Rattus norvegicus: one gene and its partner. Each later gene encodes a partner of the first gene's protein in a complex. Links are inferred from orthologs where the notes say so. Each region holds a gene or a part of one and is shown on either strand. Other genes may lie near its edges.

Evidence for each region.
Region 2: the proteins of Slf2 (region 1) and Simc1 are in contact, whole or in part, in a cryo-EM structure (PDB 7T5P), measured with the Homo sapiens proteins. The link is inferred for Rattus norvegicus from reciprocal best matches to the Homo sapiens genes SLF2 and SIMC1. Residues at the interface, in NP_060591.3 of Homo sapiens: His738, Val772, Leu775, Lys778, Asp783, Phe786, Gln790, Gly791, Phe792, Thr794, Ser795, Ala796, Tyr797, His798, Tyr799, Cys820, Ile821, Gln825, Ser828, Met831, Glu832, Ile835, Arg836, Asp838, Thr839, Ser841, Asp842, Ser843, Pro847, Lys919; in NP_001295125.1 of Homo sapiens: Tyr426, Arg428, Leu431, Lys435, Leu438, Pro440, Val442, His443, His444, Leu445, Phe447, Gln448, Arg470, Arg471, Phe490, Asp493, Pro497, Val521, Asp522, Lys525, Glu526, Tyr528, Met529, Met532, Lys533, Gln536, Leu537, Arg571, Asn658, Gln661.

What each region holds. Positions count from the first base shown.
Region 1 is NC_086019.1:253,748,776-253,752,590, reverse strand, and holds part of Slf2 (SMC5-SMC6 complex localization factor protein 2), read right to left. Parts: intron 2,647-3,815; coding exon 2,524-2,646; intron 1,751-2,523; coding exon 1,583-1,750; intron 1-1,582. UniProt on the Homo sapiens protein: Plays a role in the DNA damage response (DDR) pathway by regulating postreplication repair of UV-damaged DNA and genomic stability maintenance.
Region 2 is NC_086035.1:10,108,988-10,113,410, forward strand, and holds the start of Simc1 (sUMO-interacting motif-containing protein 1), read right to left. Parts: upstream 3,024-4,423; 5' UTR 2,941-3,023; coding exon 2,812-2,940; intron 1-2,811.

The DNA of each region.
Region 1 (3,815 bases):
TGTAGGCTCAGAGTGACACCAAACTTGCGATCTTCCTGCCCCAGCAATTCTAGGATTACAGCTGTGAACTGCCATGGCTGGATTTTACATAATCAGTTCTCCACTTTGAGATAATATCTCTTATGGCCCAGCAGGCTTAAAACTTGCAAACTGAAGACAACTTGGAAAGTTTTCACCTTTACTTACCCAGCCGTAGGCTACCACTTTTGGTTCATGTGGTGTAAGAAGCAAAACAGGGCTCTGGATACTCTACATAATCACTCACCAACCAGGCCACAGTCCCAGACAGTCCACATTCATCTAAGGCAGCAGCAGAGTCTTACTGGGCCCCAGTCACAAACTTTTAAGAGCAACTTTTGAAAATCAGATTTTATTTTATGTATATGGGTATTTTGCTTCCATGATGGATATTCTTGATTGTCAGTCTGACTATAAAATGCAAATAGGTGGGCACACCCATAAGGGTTTTTTCTTTTCATTTCTTTTTAAAGATTTATTTTCATGTGCATTGGTGTTTTGCCTACATGTATATGTCTACATAGAGGTGCCAGATCCCCTAGAACTGGAATTCAGACAGTCATGAGCTACCACATGGGTACTGGGAATTGAACCTGGGTTCTCTGAAAGAACAGCCAATGCTCTTAGCTGCTGAGCCATCTCTCTACACCTGTTTGGGATTTTTTTTTCCCCTTAACAAAACCATTTGAAGTAGGAAGACCCATTTCTTTTTCTTATGTTTTTTGAGACAGGGTTTCTCTTTGCAACCCTGCCTGACCTGCACCTCGCTCTGTAGACCTGGCCTCAAAACTCAAGAGATCTGCCTGTTTCTGCTTTCCCAGTGCTGGGATTAAAGGTTCAGGCACTCCCTACCTCCAGCCTATATAAAGGACATAGAAGATGAATGATTACCTGCCCCTGCCCCTGCTTTGGCTCGTTTTCCTAGGAAGTTCATTCATTCACTGGCATTAGAGTTTACTTCTTCAGGATTCCAGAGTATACTAAAGACCAGCTGAGACATCCAACCTCTTTGACTGAATAACTGGACTTCTGGCCTTTCTTCTGGCCACTGCCAGAGTACCTGGACCATAGCCTGTAAACCATTCTACTAAATCCCCTCTTTCTATATATACAAATTCACTTTGTATGGTTCAATGGTTCTCAACCTTCCTAGTGCTGTGACCGTTTAATACAGTGCCTCATGTTGTGGTGATCCCAACCATAAAATTATTCTTATATATTCTTCCTAACTGTAGTTTTACAACTTTATGTATTGTAAATATCTGTTATCCAATGGCCTTAGGCAATCCCTAAAGGGGTCATGACTCAGGTTACACTGCTCTAGTGTACCCTGACTACTATACCTGCATGCATGTATGTGTACTACATATATGTCTGGTGTCCACAAAGGTCAGAACCTCTGGAACTAGAGTTATGTATAGTTCTGAGCTACCATGTAGATGCTGGGAATTGAACCTGGGTCCTTTGCAAGAGCAGTTAAGTGTTATTAACCATTGAGCTATTCCAGCCCTTAGAACAAATATTTATACAGGAAAAAAAATCCAAATATTTATGATTTACTTACTTGAGAATAAGCTTTTCCACAGCACTTTCTCCGATAAAACCAGAGTCTCTTAAATCTAAGGTATACTGATTGAAAATTTTTCCAGAATTGAGGAAATTAAATATTTCTTCACCTGGATGATGATCAGGAATAGCATCAACTGTAACTGAAAATTTCTTTAGAAATTCCCTGAAATACAAGGATCATTGAATATTAAAGAGTTAGGACATATATGATTCTGTACTTAAAAGATGAATACATAACACTTGGCAAACTCTTACAAAACAGCATTTTGTGTGTACTTTTTTGGTTTCTCTGTAAAGTCCTGGCTGTCCTGAAACTTGTTCTGTAGACTAGGTTGGCCTCGAACTCACAGAGATCTGCCTCTCTCTGCCTCCTGGGTGCTGGAATTAATGGCATGTGCTAATGCGATAGAACCAATGAACATCTTTTTGGTATACTATAAATTTTAAAGATTGATTAACTCAGGGTACGGAGATGGCTCAGTAGGTAAAGTATTAAGTCAGACTGTAAGACTGACTGAAGAGTATTTTAGCCAGGTACACAACTTTGATCTCAGCATTCTAGAGGCAGCAGCAGGTGGATCTCTGTGAGTTCCAGTCCAGCCTGGTCTACAGAGAATTCCAGGCCAGTCAGTGCTCTTACATAGAAAAATCCTGTCTCAGAAAGAGAGGGAGGTGGGGGGATTGACTGAGACAGATAGAATGTTTTGCAGTCCTCCTTATGGCTACACATTTCATATGTTCAGTAATGAAAACCACTGAGTCTCTCAGTGTTAAGACTTAGGATGTAATTTGGTTTTAATGTTTGCCTTTCAACAAAATTCAAGTGTGTATCAGTCATTGAACAGCCAGTCAAAGATCCAGCTGTTTTATAAATACCAAATTTGAAAAATGGTTAAAAAGTACTAGAAGATTATAGATAGTGTAAAAAGACGCTACCTGTGTTCTTCTGAGAGGCCATCCTCATCATCTGTACTGTCCTGGTCGCCAATTCTGATAGGAGATTTAATGCCACGGCCCTGTCTTATGTCTTCCTGTAGCTGCTTCTGTAGTTCATCTAGCCTGAAAATTGAAAAGAATGCCATATAAATAATCCTCATTCATTCATTCTTGAGACAGAGTCTTTCTATGTAGTTCTGGAACTCTCTATATAGACCAGCCTCGCCTTAAATTCGGAGATTCACCCACCTTCTGAGTATTGGGAATAAAGGCATGCACACCAGGCTAGGCTTATGATTTATTTAAAAACAACTGCTGTGATCTAAAAGGAAAACAATTACCAAGTACTGTTATATATAACAAATTATGTTATAATATAGGGTAGATCATATCTCCAAAATACATTAAAGTTTTTTAAAAGTTCTATTTTATATGCATGTGTTTTGCCTAAATGCATATTTGTGCAGTACCCACAGAGGCCAGAAGAGGGTGTTGGATCTCCTGGCAGAAGAGTCAAAAATGACTGTGAGCAATCATGTGGGTGCTGAGACTCAAACATGGGCCCTCTGGAAGAGCAACCGGTGCTCTTAATCACTGAGCCATCTCTCCAGCCCTTTGGATATTTCTTTACAACTAGAAATTTAAGAATGACCTATCCAAACCAGAAATAGAAAAATCAAATGATAAATAATGATCAAATTTGGTTATCTTCTCTAATCTTTAATATTCACTGATATCTTGTAGACCAATACCCTGATAATGTTAATTAGGGGTTTTTTTTCATCATGGTCACATGATTATTATCACCACCAAATATAACACTTACTATGGAATGCCAAACCACAACCTCTTAGTGAGATTAAAGGAAAATAAGTGGTCAAGAAACTCACTGTTTTCTCACTAACAACGGGTCAATCATCACACCAAATATTACTTTGGTCTGAGAACACTCAATATCATTGTGTGTGTGTGTGTGTTGAAATAGGTCTTTTGATGTATTCTAAGCTGGCCTGACACCGGAAATCTTCATGCCTCAATTTAAGTGTTGGTGTGTGTATTTTCACATGTAGCAAGGCTTAATTTTAAACAATTTCTCTAAATTCAGAGGGAAAAACTTTTAACATAAACATCTGAAGATTTCCTATAGTTATATGTTTAACAAGTTAGATTTGTAACTTCTGTGTAATTCAGTTATCTAATCTTCCTTTTAAAGTTACTTAACAATTAATTTTTTTTTTATATTCATGTAGGTGTGACTGTGGTGGCTAGAAAAAGATTTCAGATCGCTCTGT
Region 2 (4,423 bases), on another chromosome or scaffold:
TTTGAACAGAACACTGTTAATGCAGGCACTATGATCAATAATTAATAAATTAGAACCAAGAGACTTCTTCATGGCAAAGGACTCAGTCATTCAGGAAAAAAAAGTTGTTTTTTTGTTTTTTTGGTTTTTTTTTTTTTTGAGACAGGTTTCTCTGTGTATTCCTGGCTGTCCTGGAACTCTTTCTGTACAACAGGCTGGCCTTGAACTTAGAGAACCGACTGCCTCTGCTTCCAATCACTGGAATAAAAGGTGTGCACCACCACCTCCTGGCAGGAGAAGATTTTTTAACAACTACATATCTGATAGAAGTCTACTATCCACAATATATTAAACAAAAAATACTAAAAAAAAAAAAAAAAAAAAAAAAAAAAACAAACCTGAAAAACCAAAAACCAAAAACCAACCAACCAAACAACCAAACAAAAAACTATCAAGAAAACAACCCAGGGACTGGAGAGATGGCTCAGTGGTTAAGAGCACTGATGGATCTTCCAAAGGTCCTGAGTTCAAGTCCCAGCAACCACATGGTGGCTCACAACCATCTGTAATGGAATTGATGCCCTCTTCTGGTGTATCTGAAGACAGCTACAGTGTATGCATACATAAAATAATTACATTTAAAAAATATTTTTAAAAGAAAGAAACAACCGAATTAAAATCTGGGGCAGCACATATTCCATTGTAATGACCTTACTTTGCAGACAGTTCCATCAGTCTTCAATAGCAAGAACAAACTGGCACAGCTGAATAATTTTTTTTTAATGACAGAACATGAAATTGATAAGTTACCACGTGCCAAGATACTTAATATATACATGGAACACCAATAATAAGATAGTCTATAATCTAAATATGCTAGAGGTGTTTAATTTAAACACCTAAATTATTAAGAGATTTTTAGACGATTCTAATCTCATAGTTGGGGATACGTCTCAGTTTGTGTATAATGCCTGTCTAAGACTTGAGACCTTACGTTTGATCCCCAGCACCCCATAAACCAAGTACACTTGTCTCAATACCCGGAAGGTGAAAGCGGAATCAGAATCAAGGTCATCCTTAGCTACATAGCAAATCTGAGGCTAGCCTGAACTACAGAAGACCCGGCCAAAAAAAAAAAAAAAAAAAAAAAAAAAAAAAAAAAAAAAACTAGTACAACCCATTAGAAAATATATATAGATATTTTTCTATAGTAATACACACATACACACACACACACTGTAGCTCTCCAGACAGTGGGAATGGGAAAGTTATTGCTTATTACCCTAAATTTTCTTTATCTCTATTTAAAATTACATTCATAATCCAAGGTGGTGAAAGGTCACTTTTCCAAAGATGTTTGTGGACCTGAAGAACACATGGTTTCCTTTCGGAGTGAAGTAAACGATTGATTAGCTATGGTGGTTGTAGGATGGATGAATCATACCACAGTAAAGGTACTGTTAAAAGACAAACTACCATAAAGGTATATTTACAAGCTAGATAGCACAAAAAGGCAAAATTAGGTTCCTCTCCTAAGAGGAAACTTAAAGAGGAACTAGAGCCTGCTAGTTTTACATCAAATTGTAACAAGCTACAGCGATCTGAGAGAAATGAACCTTAATTGAGAATCTATGTCCTAAGATCCAGCTGTAAACACGCCTGTAGGGCATTTCCTTAACTAGCGACTGCTGTGGGAAGGCCCAGCCTACTGTGGGTGGGGCCACCCCAGGCTAGTGGTCCTGGTTTCTGTGAGAAAGCAGGATGAGCAAGCCAGAGGTAGCAAGACAGTAAGCATCACTTATCCACGGCTTCTGCACAGCCTCTGCCTCCAAGTTCCTGCCCTGCTTGAGTTCTTGTTCTGACTTCTATAGTATGAACATCGAACTGTAAGCTAAATAAACCATTTCTTCTTAAAGTTGCTTTGGGTCATCGTGTTTCATCACAGCAATAGTAATCCTAAAACACCTACCTTTGGTGTAGGAGGACCCTGCAACTTCCCAAAGGCAACCTAAAAGGAATGAGCACTCAAAAAGTGATTTGCATGCTTATGGAGTAGCTGACCTTGATTTAGGTCATATATTAGGAAGATCAGAGACCGATCCCTGGACTAATCGAAGCCACAGCATCTGGATCACGGTAGGGGCTCACTAAATTTCTGTGGAGAGTTCTAGAAAGGCGGAGACCACAGATATTTTTATTCCACCACTTCAGGAGCAAGGATAAAGAGAACCTGGAGGAAAAACAAAGGTGCGAGTGCCCCGCCCCCGAGCTTTGTATGTGATTCGCATCTGCAAAGCAAAACAAACCGTCCTTCTCCACAACTCAAAAATCGGGCCCTTGGCTCGGGAACTAGGCCCTGCAGCGCAGCCGCCACGGTGCCAAGGGCGGCGCTTCCCTCCTCGCAGCCGAGGCTCCTGTTACCTCCTTGCACATATCTGTGCCCATCACAAGCCAAACAATTACGCGCTCCCGCGCGCCCGCCTCGAGGTCCGGGTAGCGGCTGCGGCCTGGCCAGGACCCCCCACTTCTCCCGCTGCCCAAGCTAGGTGCCAGCTCAGGCCAGAGGCCACAGCTGGCCACCGCCTGGCAGCTCGCATTGGTGCTCAATGTGTCGCCCATGTGCTCGGCCGGCTCCTCGGCACAGCCCTGTAGGGCTCAGCACTGGCCAGCCCGAGGCCTGCCTTTCCAGCCGCGCCGCCGCGCTCCTCGAGGCCGGAGGCCGCCAAAGGCGGGAAGACACGGCGGCGGGGTACCACGGTCGCAACGCCGAGGCCCCGAGGGGGCGACGCTCGGCTCCCGTCGGGCGTGGCGAACGGCAGTGGATTCACTCACCACGGTTCGGCGGGGCAGCGCGCCGGGGGTCCGGGACAGGGCCCGGCGCAGCCTCCGCGCCCTGCCCGAGCGGGTCCCGGCCGAGCTCTCGGAGCCACTGTCGTCGGAGATCACGATAAAGTCCTCCATGGCTACGGGCCCGGCTGAGCCCCACGCGAGCGGCGAGCGGCCCCAGCGACTGCGACTCGGGGTCCAGCTGCTGAAGCGACTGCAGCGACCGCGTCGCCGACACCGGGGTTAGTATCCCGCCCGCCCCGCCCCCTCCATTGCCCCGCCCCCACCTCCCCGCCTCCAGAGGACCCGTCCCGCCCCGAGCCCCGCCCACCGCGGGGAAACCGCGCGCCCGGGGCAGGCCGGTGTCACCGAACCCTGGAGGAGCCCAGCTCCCTTCCGCTCTGAGAAGGAGAGAGAGAGGGAAGAGAGGGAAGGGAGGGATAGAACTGAGAGGCTCGGCCTCATGGTCGGCCCGCCGGCCGGCTTGAACAACGCTGAGGTTGAGAGGTTCTCTACCGCTGCTCTCAACTGACCATAGAGGGCGGTGCCGGTGACTAGCCCCTGGCTGCAGGTGTGAGGAGGTGTGATTAGCCAGCCAGCTTGCTTCACAGGGAGAGGGGTCACTGGAATGGGCTGATGGAGCCTCTGATAGAGCATTTAATTGACCCGGTAGTGAGGCCTGCAACTGGCAGAAGAAGCATGATTCCTTCAGGTTTAAGAAGCCCTGAGGGGTTGAGAAGGGTAACCTGAAACTAGTGTTTGAGTGACTGGGGCTTCAGGCTGAGATAAGGGAGAGATACTCACTCTTGTGTGTGCAGGCAGATCTGTAGGATAAATTCCCAGCGGCAGAATTTTTGGATCAAATCTATGTTTTTATTGTTATTTTGGCAAATGGTACCAAATTATCCTAAGTTGTACCAATTTGCAGTTTCACCAACAATATGTGTCGCAGGAATTTAAACTGTCAAATGCAAGAGTTTGTTGAGTTCCTAGTTGACAGAAACCGCCGGAAACGGCACACAGCTACGAGATCCCAGAGTACCTGTATACTCCAGTGCTGTGAAGAAGCAGAAGTTATAAGGATAAAATTATATCTCCAACAGAGGGTGAATAATAGAGATTGCAGAACCACACACCAGTGTTTCTGACTGAGAAGCTGAGCTTTGGGAGTGAGCCCTGAAATTGGTATTTCTCTCAGGTTCCTGGGTGATATTGACATTGCTTAAAGTCTGGTAAACATATGTTAAGGCTCACTGGTCTGAGCTAGGCATCTGTGGTGCCTGCCTTGAATCCTAGCTCCTGAAAGGCTAAGGTCAGCTAGGGTGAGAGAAAAGGAGAGGAAGGTGGGGGAGGAGAAGGGGAAGGGAGGGAAGGAGAGAGATCACTGGCCTGTTGGGCAAGAAGCTTATGGCTACAGGTTTCAAATGTTTTGGTTCAATGGGCGAATTGTTATAAAGGGACACAGAAAGGTGAATTTCCTATAATACTATCAAGCATTCATTTCAACACAGATACACACAGACACACACACACATGCATGCTCACACACACATGAACACACACATGCATGCTCACACTCACACATGCATGCTCACACACACCTATGCTCACACACATA